3 linked regions of the Sus scrofa genome follow. The protein of the gene in region 3 interacts with the protein of the main gene of each other region in a pairwise test. Links are inferred from orthologs where the notes say so. Each region holds a gene or a part of one and is shown on either strand. Other genes may lie near its edges.

Region 1 (4,024 bases), on a different chromosome or scaffold from region 3:
GCAAAGATCTGGAGGTAGCGGAGGGCGGCTGCCACCAAGCAGACAGTGGTAGTCAGGGCGTTCAAGGCACACAGGGCGAAAAGCACTTTCTGGAACCAGGAAACAATGATGCCCCTGAGTACCTCATAGCTGATGACCAGAATGCAACATTAAAACTTTAAAAAAGAGTAAGAGTGCTGTCCCACTAAGTCAATTCTCATGAGAAAACGTATGTAAAGGCCTTAGATGATGTTTGGCTCATGCTACATGCCAAACAAATGCTGATTACTATTAAGGCTCTCACTGGAGTTTCCTTGTGGTGCAGCAGGTTAGGGATTGGGCATTACCACTGCAGTGGCTTGGATCGCTACAGTGGCATGGGTTTTATCCCTGGCCTGGGAAATTCCACACGCTATAGGCATGGCCAAAAAAAAAAAAAAAAAAAAAAAAAAAAGGAAGAAAAGGAAAAGAAAAACACTCTCACACAATGCTGTGTACTTCTTAATTTTAAAAACATCTTCGGTACTATTGAAATCTCTTACATTTTTAAGATAATATCTTTGCAACTAAAAACAGAACTTATCTTAGAAGCTTTCCGTGCCAGGCAGACCTGACGTTACCATATTTCTTTTTGCCAGCATCAGAATCCTGTCTGGAAACGCTTTTTCCAGGCAAGCGCTGTTTCTCTTCTGAAGTCAGTGTCCTCAGTGATACCGATTCCCAATCTCCCCGCCCTCCTACCCACGGTCCCCCACCAGGACAGCACAGCTGCTTAATTTGTGGCCACTGATTCTATTTCAGGAGTCACTGGCAGAGCTGCTCCAGGCACCCAACTAGGACAACACAGGGGGCAGGTCGGCCCGAGTGTAAACAGGGCTTCTCTCCTCTAAACACATGTCTCAAAATAGCAGCAAAGCCAATTCCAAAAGTTTCTGTTGCCACAGTCGAGGCTCCTTAGTGGGGCTTTCCTCAAGCAAATTCTGGCTCAGAGAAAGTCTGGGGGTGACTCAGCTGCCAAAAATCCAGAAGCCAAAGAAGGAAGGTCTTTTTTATATCCTCCATGACCCAAAGAGTTGGGAGCTTCTCTCTCTTTTGCTGAGATTCTTCTTCCACACAAAATAGAAACCCAGAACAAAGATCAAAGAAAGCCATCAATGATGGACCATCCAAATGCTATTATCTCAGCAACTGATCCTGTCACTCACTTAGCTAACAGAGCTTAAGTCAGGACACCGCTTTTATCCAATTCCCTAATAAAGGTCAATTTTGTACATCTCTTGAGCTAGCATCATTTGTTCTTAATCTCTTTTGCCTATTAAATGAGAGGTAATGTCTTGAATTTCTCATGTATTTTCTGGCCAATGCATCTCCTTAGTCTACGTGGCAGCACTCGACAGCCCACAGGACTCATTTAAGCCAACAGAGGAGCATAGGAACAATGACCAGTGGACATCTACTTTGCAGGTTCTGCTGAACCTACATCATATACGAGTAGCTATATCATGGATGGGTAGGTGGGTATGTGTGTGTGTCTGAATATGTATATTATATACCCACACATATACATATGTACATATTTAGGCTCCTTTACATTTTTCACTAGCTTATAATTCTTGAACACAAAGAAGCCATCCCATCATAATTTAAGAGACACACAATAACCTGGTTCCTTCTGCTCTCAATTCTGTCTCTGGATCACTGATGAGGGGTTTGCTCCTATCTGCTTTCAGCAGCATTATTTGAAGAGGAATTATTTCAGGGAGTGCTGCCTTCTTTGGGGTCTCTGTGGTGTATTTATTGAGCAGGAGTGAGGTCCATTCCAGATACCTTAAGTAGAAGGTGAACAGCACTACAAGGCTGAACTGGGAAGAGCTTCAAAGCATTTTCTTTGTCTGTGCATTTGGCTGGTTGATATTCTTCACAACAGAAGCAAATCTTGCCTTCACCTAAGTCCACCTTCAAAGGGAAAAGGAAGAACAATAACTTAATTATTAAGTAAAAATACACAGGCCACACCATGGAGCACCAATTACTACAGAATGAGATATGGTAAGGTTCAGTGTCGGGCAGTGTCTACATCGGTCAGGATACTCTAGGGTATGCTATGGCAACAACCAGCCCCCAAGTTCCAGTGGCTTAGCCAACCAAGGCTATTTCTTGACTATGCTACATGTCCAGTGCAGGTCAGCAGAGGGCTCTGCTCATCACATTCCCTTAATAGGGCATCCACTTTCTGAGGACTGATGATGACTATGCTAGACACATGGAAAGCACATGAGCTGAACAACTGTACTTAAAGCAGGGCTGCTAGGTCAAAAGCTCAGTTAAATCTGAATTCAGATAAACAACAGGAGTTCCCGTCGTGGCGCGGTGGTTAACGAATCCGACTAGGAACCATGACGTTGAGGGTTCGGTCCCTGCCCTTGCTCAGTGGGTTAACGATCTGGCGTTGCCGTGAGCTGTGGTGTGGGTTGCAGACGCGGCTCGGATCCCGCGTTGCTGTGGCTCTGGCGTAGGCCAGTGGCTACAGCTCTGATTTGACCCCTAGCCTGGGAATCTCCATATGCCACGGGAGCGGCCCAAGAAATAGCAAAAAGAGAAAAAATAAATAAATAAATAAACAACAGATCATTCCTTAGCATTAGTATGTCACAAATATTGCATGAGACATGTTTACAGTAAAAACAAAAACAAAAACAAAAACAAACCAATTGGCTGTTTGTTCGAAATTCAAATTTCAATGGGTGTCTTGTGTTGCTAAATCCAGTCACCCTAGCTTGAATCTTCCTCTTGGAAATGACACTCATCACACGACCTCAATTTCATTTCCAAAGCAAATCATATGGTTCCGCCTAACTCCAAGAAGGCAAGGAAGTTTACTCTACCAAGTGCCTGTAAAAAGCACAAGATCTCTTTGGTTAACAGTAGTCCTAAACCATGCAGGCTTAAAGAAATCTCTTAGTTTGCATCTTCATTGTGTTCATAGATTGTGTAGAAGTCTTATTTGAAATGATAAGATCACTTCAAATATATATATATATGTGTGTGTGTGTATATATATATATACACACACACATATATATATGTGTATATATATATTTGTCTTTTGTCTTTTCAGGGCCGCACCGGCAGCATATGCAGGTTCCCAGGCTAGGGGTCTGATGGGAGCTATAGCTGCCAACCTACACCAGAGCCACAGCAACTCAGGATCCAAGCCGAGTCTATGATCTACTCCACAGCTCACGGCAACACCAGATCCTTAACCCACTGAGCGAGGCCAGGGATGGAACCTGCAATCTCATGCTTCCTAGTCAGATTTGCCGCTGCATCACGATGGGAACTCCATCATACATATTTTTAATGAGATGCTTTGCAAACTTTGGGTCATGTTTCCAAGTTTCCATTGAGTCAGGTTGTGGACATATGTACTACCTGATTTTGGCTAATAAGACCCCTAATTTGGGAGCAGAAGTTCATTCTTACTTGCTCTGTGGCTTGAGCTGATGAAGTTGGCAGTTCTATGTTGGCTAAAAGGAAAGGCCACACTTCTTTCATATTTGTTAAATTAAACAGGTGCCTTTGACTTCACTAGCTGCAAAATTCTTCGGGAATCTTTAAGAATGACTGAACATCTACAATGTTTTAGTTACTTAACAGAAAAAAACTCTTTTTTTCTGACTGAATTAAGACTCTTAACCTCTAAACATAGTGATAAATTTCATGGCATTCTTCCAACTTAGGAAGAACCTTAGTTCCTTCTAATACAAGTTGACTAGGAAGCCAAGTGGAAAAAACTCATACTGCTTACTGATTTACACAGCATTTTTTGGTTTGGCTTTCTTTTTCCTTTGAGCTGAAATTTACACACACACACACACACAATTTACATACACAACTCATAAGCATATCACTCAAGGAATTGTGAACCATACCTATATCCATGGAACTCAAACCCACATCAACGCACAGAACATAACATCCCTGGAGAAGATTCCATCATGTCCCTACCCCACCAATCCCTGCCCACACCCTCCTAAAGGCAACT
Region 2 (4,024 bases), on a different chromosome or scaffold from region 3:
TATTACAAAAGAAATAAAGCATGACAGAATTAAGTGGGAGAAGACCCAACCTAGCAAGTTAAATTGAGCTGAAGCATGAAAGATAAGGAGACAGCTATGTGAAGAGTCAGGGAAAAGGGATCTCAGCAGAAGAAATACCAAGTACAAAACCAGTGAGGTGGGTCAAGTGCTTAATGTTCAAGAGGAAGAGAAAGGAAATCAATATGGCTAGAGAATAGTGAGCAAGGGGAGAGGGATACAATGAGGCTGAAAAGATAGGCAGGGACTATATCACAAAGCATTTCAATATTTAGTCTTATTCTAAGAATAACTGGAAGGCTTTGAAGGGTTTTAAGCAAGCAAACATTTGACATTTGATTTAGAGCTTAAATAACAACAACAAAATCACTCTAGCTGCTAAGTTAATAGTAATAAGTAAAATCTAAGGCCTATAAAGGCCCAAGCGCAACATTTTCTTCTACTTGGAAAGTAGAAGTTTTAAACAGACATGAGACAGGAAAGTTTTACCTTGATCCAGAACCATAAGACTTGGATTCAATTCCATGAAGGCAATCTTGCAAAGAGCTAATAAGTACTTTGCAACGATCATCAGCAGATACTTTGGACTGTTTAATTAAAGAAATTGCAGTTACCAATGTCTCAATAGCACTCCCATAATCACCTGTAAGCAAGCAGAAGGAGAGAGGTTGAAGTCAAATAAATTATTTTCAAAATACCACACAGTTATTCGAGGTTAATTATTTTACAAAAGTAATGCCGCTGCAAATAGACTGTAGAAGATACCTAAATTTTTTGTGTTTCAAAATTTGGAAAAGGCTTTAATGCACATGAAATTAATACAATTTGTTACTATTGTAGCTGTGTGAAACAAGTTATCACTTAGCAAACATGAGAATTAATGAGCTGCCTTAAGGTCCCTGAACCATTAAATGTCAGGCTAAGATTTAAATCTATACCTAAAAAATTTAAAATTAGGGCCTTTCCATTACTGTGACATAAAGCTTCCTCCTATGCCTTTTTCCAGACTGCATCTGAAGCATATGGAGTTCCTGGGCTGGGGCTGAATCAGAGATGCAGCTATGGCCTACACCACAGCAATACTGGATCACAGTCACATCTGTGACCCATGCCGCAGTTATGGCAATGCTGGACCCTTAACTCACTAAATGAGGTCAGGGATCAAACCAGCATCCTCACAGAGACAATGCTGTGTCCTTAACCTGCTGAATTCTTCAATGCCTTTTAAAAAAGTACAGATAATGATCTGGAAATAAAAATAATTACTACCACATGTAGATAACCCATCTTCAAGACTGCACTTGAGTTTTAAGTAATTCCTATTGTGGCTCGCTGGGTTAAGAACCTGACTAGTATCCATGAGGATATGGGCTCAATTGTGGGCCTTGCTTAGAGGGTTAAGGATCTGGTGTTGCCACAAGCTGTGGTGCAGGCTGGCAGTTGCAGCTCTGATTTGACCCCTAGCCTGGAAGTTACACATGTTGCAGGTGCGGACCTAAAAAGAATAAAAGAAGTTTTCAAGTCATTAATACAGAAAGAACTATACAAACCAGCACTGGCATCAGACACAGCCCTTGAAATAGCGCTGCTTGAGATTGCCCTATTTCTATTCATGATTTCTTCAAACTCAGCTTCACTCAATGGCGTTCGTGCGGTATCCATTTCCCTATAAAAATCAAAATAAACCTTAAATCATACTCAAAAGATTTTATAAATCAGCCATAACATCATGAAACAATTCAAACAGTTGCTTTTGACAAGTGCTTTAGGGCTAGCAGTTACTTTTTCAGATTCAAATATGCTAGCTTTCCTACAAAGAGAAAGTCTATGCAAAATTCCCTTACGCCATTATCTTTCAGTTGAAACAAAAGCAGCAACTTAGACCAGAAATGACGTATTTACATACCTACAATATACTATTGCTCAGAGTCATACAAAAATATATATAAATTGTTCTGATGTCTCTCTCTCTCCCCCTCTGTATATGTGAACAAAAAATGCTGAATGCAAAAAACACAGTCCTATACGATCAAGAGTGGGAATTCAGTTTCACTTATGCTTAGATCTTCTACGTACAGGGTCCCAACTTACAACAGGATAATAAGTGTGTTTAATAAAATTTCAGGAGGGACAAGATCTTAGATCTTGTTTGCCACTGAATCCCTAGAAGAATATCTGGCAAATAAAAAGTACTAAGAACTTTTTCTGTTGAAAAATATTACTAAAAATCCCAGGATTTTCTAAAGCTGCTGGACAACTTTAAAAATTGGGACTTCAGGAGTTCCTGTCGTGGCTCAGCGAAAACGAATCTGACTGGTATCCATGAGGATGCAGGTTCCATCCCTCACCTCACTCTGTGGGTTAAGGATCTGGCACTGCTGTGAGCTGTGGTATAGGGCAGCATCTACAGCTCTGATTCGACCCCTAGCCTGGGAACCTCTGTATACTGCTGCGGGTGCAGCCCTAAAAAGACCGAACAAACAAACAAACAAACAAAAAAACAAACAAACAAGGTGACTACATATATTGTACAGGCAAAGGTAAACTTTTTGCCATCTTAGTTATTAGTTACTTGGTAGGATGTTAGATTAGGGTAAGCAGTAGTAGTTCATTCCAATGAAATGAGGAAATCACTAATATAACCTTTGGCATGTTTATAAGATATTATTATTCCCCAAATTTTAATTTACAAGTTGTTCAAAATCCATGTATAATTTCAAGCAAATTCTGTGACTCATACCCATCTTATCCTCTAAAAAAATCCCATGTAAGATAATCAGTTTTCTCTAATTTTCAATTAAAAACTACTTAATAATACCTATATACACACACAAATATGCATATTTTTAGAAAACCTAATACTGCAGCAATTCTATCATGCCAGAAAAAGCATATCAGACTCAAGTTTTAAACTGTCAAACCAAGCCACCTAACCTGCTCCTAAACACTATGGGTGAACACTTGATAAGCAGCTGCTCACTGGGCTCACTGGAACTAAACTGAACAGAAGAAAAGTTGTGCTAGCCTCATAGTTACATCACTTTTCAAAAGAAAACTAGCCTTTTCGGTAGTCATAAAGACACAACCTCTATGGATAGATAACTGTCAGTAGATTTTGTTTACAACATCAAATTTATTTTCCTGGCCCTGTGCAATTATATGGAATTAGGCAGATGCTCAAATCCACCCTTGCATGACATCATCAGACAAAATGAAATACAAAGTAGTTCAATAGGGATAATTAAAGAATTCAAAAACAAATGATAAAACTCAAAAGAAAATGAAGGGGGCAAATTCAAATACTTCTTAGAGATTAAGAACAAAGCTCTCCAGATTATGAATTGAATATGCACAGCTTTAAAACTACTTTGAGGAGTTCCCTTGTGGCGCAGTAGGTTAAGGATCCAGTGTTGTCACTGCAGGGGCTAGGGTGGCTGCTGTAGTGTGGGTTGGATCCCTGGCCCAGGAACTTCCACAAGTCCCAGGTTCGGCCAAATAAAGAAAGAAAGAAAACACCTACTCTGAAAGGGGATTTAAGGATCACTTAGTTCCACCATGATTTCATGCAGCTTTTCTCGAAGGATTGCCATTTTAATTTCCACAAAGCCTGTATTTCACAATTGTCTGTCTACCCGAATATGCTTATAAATTACTTAATGTTCCCATTTTAATTTAAAGTTAATAATTTTGCTTAGGACTCCTAATGAGGATGAGATAATCAATAGTATCCATCTAATTCTAATTCCTAAAACAATTAAAAAACTTGAGTGTCATCAGTGGTAAATGAGATTGACTTTTAAATCTTAAAAATAGCTTAAGGATCTCATTTGCTCACTTAAATTATCTTTATTCACCTTTTTTAACTTAAAAAATGATGGAAACAAAGTAACTTGCCCTAAAATCACATGGCTGTATAAGTGGCAGAACTGGATTATTTCCAACCCCGCTCAGTACCCGTTTTTCATTGTATCATACTGTTTCTTCTAAGAGAAAACAATATGAAAAT
Region 3 (4,024 bases):
TGAGGAAGCGGGTTAGATCCCTGACCTTGCTCAGTAGGTTAAGGATCCGGTGTTGCTGTGAGCTTTGGTGTAGGTCACAGACACAGCTCGGATCCCACATTGCTATGGCTGTGGTATAGGTCGGGAGCTGTAGCTCCAATTCTACCCCTAGCCTGGGAACATTATACGCCGTGGGTGCGACCATAAAAAGACTATATAGATAAATAAAAGAAAATAAGATGCCAGTGCCGAGCATATGGCAGTCACTCAACACATGATAGGATTTATTATGACTATTACTATAATGAACACACAGTAAATGATAGTCATTGATAGAGCTGTGTTCTGAGTGGTTTCAAATTTCTAAATTCTAAAACTCCCTTTGGATATACAGAATACAATGAGACAAGTTGTACATCTTCCCTCAATATCCAAGGTAGGTTGGTTCCAGGACACCCCCACAGATACTAAAATCCAAAGACAGTCAAGTAATATAAGCTATGTACATCTTCCCATACGCTTTTTTTTTTTTTTTTTTTTTTTGTCTTTTTGCCTTTTCTAGGGCTGCTCCCGCGGCATATGGAGGTTCCCAGGCTAGGGGTCTAATTGGAGCTGTAGCCACCGGCCTACACCGGAGCCACAGCAACATGGGATCTGAGCTGCGTCTGCGACCTACACCACAGCTCACAGCAACGCTGGATCCTTAATCCACTGAGCAAGGCCAGGGATTGAACCCGCAACCACCACTGAATCACGACAGGAACTCCTATCTTCCCATATACTTTAAATTATTTCTCAATTATGTATAATAAGTAATGCAATATAAATACTACATAAACATAGGGATACCTTGGGGATATTACAGGTTTGGTTCCAGACCACTACAATAAAGAGAATACCACAATAAATCAAATTACATGAATTTTGTGGTTTCCCAGTGTGAGTAGAAGTTATATTTATATCATACTGTAGTCTATTAAGTCTCGACTTAATAGTCTAGACAGTCTTAATAAGTCTATGTAGTCTATTAAGTTTAGCATTATGTCTAAAAAGACATACATACCTTTATTAAAAGATATTTTATTATTTAAAAAAATGCTAACCATCATCTGAGAAAGTTGTAATCTTTTTGCAATAGTATACATCAAAGATTACTGATCACAGATCAATATATAAATTTAATAATGAAGTCTGAAATATTCAAGAATCACAAAAATGTGACACAGGGACACCAAGTGAGCACATCCTGCTGGAAAAACGGTGCCAAGAGACTTGCTCAATACAAGGTTGCCACAACTTTCAATCTGTAAAAAACACTATCTGCAAAAGCGACATAAAAGCAAAGTGCAAGAAAATGAGGTATGCCTGAATTTGCTGGCTGCAGCAAATTCAAATTTAGCCTTTAGAAACTTTCTGGAGTCCCGTCTGTCCCCACCCCAGAATAGTTTCTATCCACAGTTGGCTGAATCCACGGATGTGGTAGCTGCAGATACAGAGGCTAACTGTACTATTTTATTCTGATAAAATCGTTCTTACCTGTTGGAAGGAATCTTCGAACAATGTCTGCCGGGACACATTGATCTTTACATGACTGGGTAGTGCATTAGACTACAAAGAAAAATAACATTGTAATGTAAGTTACAGTGCATGTACTGTGTAAAGATAAAACTAAATGATTATGAACATAAGATTTATTTACCACCGTAGTACCTGGCACAAATAACGGAAGTGAGCAAGTTTCCACCTAAAGCTGCGTTCATAAGCAATCTGTGGGCCACCTTTAGTTCTAAAGAAAAACAAAAACAAACTATATAATAATTCATAATAAAGCTGGATATTTAATATTCAGTATGTGACTGGAGTGTACCAGGGTCCAAAAAATGAGTACAGGAAAGTTACTTGCTGGGAGAGAAGTAAAGATATATTTAGTGGGCCAACAGAGATTCAAGTAATGAGGACACACAACATATAAAAATGAAGAGGGAGGGCATGTGTATGGATAGATCTTTTGTAAAAAAAAAAGTGAGTTAAATAAAATACTAAAGTCAACTACTGACTATTTCAAAGAAAACTTCAAATCCCAGGTGGGCAGAGGCTCTTTCAGGTAGTTTTCTTGTAAAGTGTAGCAATAAAAATGAATTTTCACTGAATGAATTCATAAGGTGAAGAATTATGGTGTTTTGCTTGTCTGTCTTTTTTTTTTTTTTTTTTTTTTTTTTGCTTTTTAGGCCATGCATGCAGCATATGGAGGTTCCCAGGTTAGGGGTTGAATCGTAGCTGCAGCTGCTGGCCTACACCACTGTCACAGCAACTCAGGATCCAAGCCAAGTCTGTGATTTACACCACAGCTCACAGCAACGCCAGATCCTTAACCCACTGAGTAAGGCCAGGGATCGAACCTCCATCCTCATGGATCCTAGTTGGGTTCGTTAACCACTGAGCATGAAGGGAACTCCCTGTTTGCTTTTAATTTAAGGAAATTAACAGCTGCTGAGAATAATTCAGCAGAGAAAGATGGAGAATATAAAGACGATCACTGTTGGAACAGTGAACTGGAAAAGAGGGGGAAGAGCTAGTGCACCAGCACAGGGAGGACTGGACTTTGATAAGAACGATGATAGTTCATCTTCAGGATGAAGAGGGAAGAGAGATACTGATAGGTGGACAGATGCAACGGTAGGAATTGCAAAAAGTTTTTATGGCTATTTCTACATACTTACTGATACAAGGACATTACACTAAGAGTAATAAGGGAGTTAAGGAGAGATCTTTCAAATGCTTAATTGAGCTATTTTTACCTGGAAAATTAAATTTTCTTGAACATCTCATTCTGTGATGTTGCAACAGCATGATGCACCTGTTAAGAGCACAGACTCTTCGGACAGACTGCTTTGGTCTGAAACCACTTCCATTACTTGCCTATAATTTTGCATAAGTTAGCTGTGCTCCCTAAGCCTCAGTTTCTGAACTTGGAAAATAACAGTATCTACCTCAAGGAATTGTTGGAAGATAAAATGAGCTAATTTACACTAAATGTTTAGAAGAATCCTTGGCACACAGTAATCACTAGGTAAATATTTACTATCGTTCTTACTAAGGAATTATGTGCCGCAAAATCATTCTATAAGAAGGTAGAGCAAAGACAGGCATAGTAGAGTATTACTTGTGTAAATTTTCTTGATACACAAAATAAAATTTATTGCTAAACTTGAGGCTAAATTAGAAGTGAAACCTATGTCCTCATTACACAGCACATAAGAGCTTCACTTACACAGATGACTTGCCATTGCGAGGATCTTTGAATGTTGTTGTTCTTGTATTATGGTCAACAAAGTACCTAACCCCTTCCCGGGTATACCTAATTTCCCAGCCTTCTGGCAGGGGTTCTTCATTCTGTAAGCTAAAAGATAATGCAATAATCATAAGGTGAACATTTTACAGGTGCTAAAAACATCTGAATCAAGGTTTTTAATGCAATTCTATCTTCAGACATGTGTAAGATAACCTAAGAAAGGCTGTAGTACATACGTACCCTTGGGTTCTGGGATCCTCCCACTGGGTTGTTTTTGTGTTATGATTCACAAAGTAAACTCTGTCTGTTGAATCCACTCTTTTTTCTAAAAAACAGAGTGAGCATAGCATTTAATAACTTTTTGCTATATATACATCTCAGATACTTTTACCAAAACCATATTTGCTTGGAGTTCCCATTGTGGCGCAGTGGTTAACGAATCCGACTTGGAACCATGAAGTTGTGGGTTCGATCCCTGGCCTTGCTCAGTGGGTTAAGGTCCCGGTGTTGCCGTGAGCTGTGGTGAAGGTTGCAGACGCGGCTCGGATCCTGCGTTGCTGTGGCCCTGGTGTAGGCCGGTGGCCACGGCTCCGATTCCCGACCCCTAGCCTAGGAACCTCCATATGCCATGGAAGCGGCCCTAGAAAAGGCAAAAAGACCAAAAAAAAAAAAAAAAAAAATTCGCTTACCCCAGCCTGGAGGCAAAGGCCCATACGGGTCATTTTCTGCAGCTAACATTGAAGCCTGGTTGGA

The links. The genes of interacting proteins can lie anywhere in the genome.
Region 1: the proteins of WWP1 (region 3) and FAM189A2 interact in binary tests that used the Homo sapiens proteins (3 or more experiments, as listed by UniProt). The link is inferred for Sus scrofa from reciprocal best matches to the Homo sapiens genes WWP1 and ENTREP1.
Region 2: the proteins of WWP1 (region 3) and CPSF6 interact in binary tests that used the Homo sapiens proteins (3 or more experiments, as listed by UniProt). The link is inferred for Sus scrofa from reciprocal best matches to the Homo sapiens genes WWP1 and CPSF6.

The regions. Positions count from the first base shown.
Region 1 is NC_010443.5:222,703,131-222,707,154, reverse strand, and holds part of FAM189A2 (protein FAM189A2), read right to left. Parts: intron 1,936-4,024; coding exon 1,807-1,935; intron 90-1,806; coding exon 1-89. UniProt on the Homo sapiens protein: Functions as an activator of the E3 ubiquitin protein ligase ITCH in the ubiquitination of the CXCL12-activated CXCR4 receptor. Thereby, triggers CXCR4 endocytosis and desensitization, negatively regulating the CXCL12/CXCR4 signaling pathway.
Region 2 is NC_010447.5:33,542,310-33,546,333, reverse strand, and holds part of CPSF6 (cleavage and polyadenylation specificity factor subunit 6), read right to left. Parts: intron 1,685-4,024; coding exon 1,569-1,684; intron 662-1,568; coding exon 508-661; intron 1-507. UniProt on the Homo sapiens protein: Component of the cleavage factor Im (CFIm) complex that functions as an activator of the pre-mRNA 3'-end cleavage and polyadenylation processing required for the maturation of pre-mRNA into functional mRNAs.
Region 3 is NC_010446.5:50,415,107-50,419,130, forward strand, and holds part of WWP1 (NEDD4-like E3 ubiquitin-protein ligase WWP1), read right to left. Parts: intron 4,016-4,024; coding exon 3,961-4,015; intron 3,597-3,960; coding exon 3,512-3,596; intron 3,380-3,511; coding exon 3,251-3,379; intron 1,766-3,250; coding exon 1,690-1,765; intron 1,588-1,689; coding exon 1,516-1,587; intron 1-1,515. UniProt on the Homo sapiens protein: E3 ubiquitin-protein ligase which accepts ubiquitin from an E2 ubiquitin-conjugating enzyme in the form of a thioester and then directly transfers the ubiquitin to targeted substrates.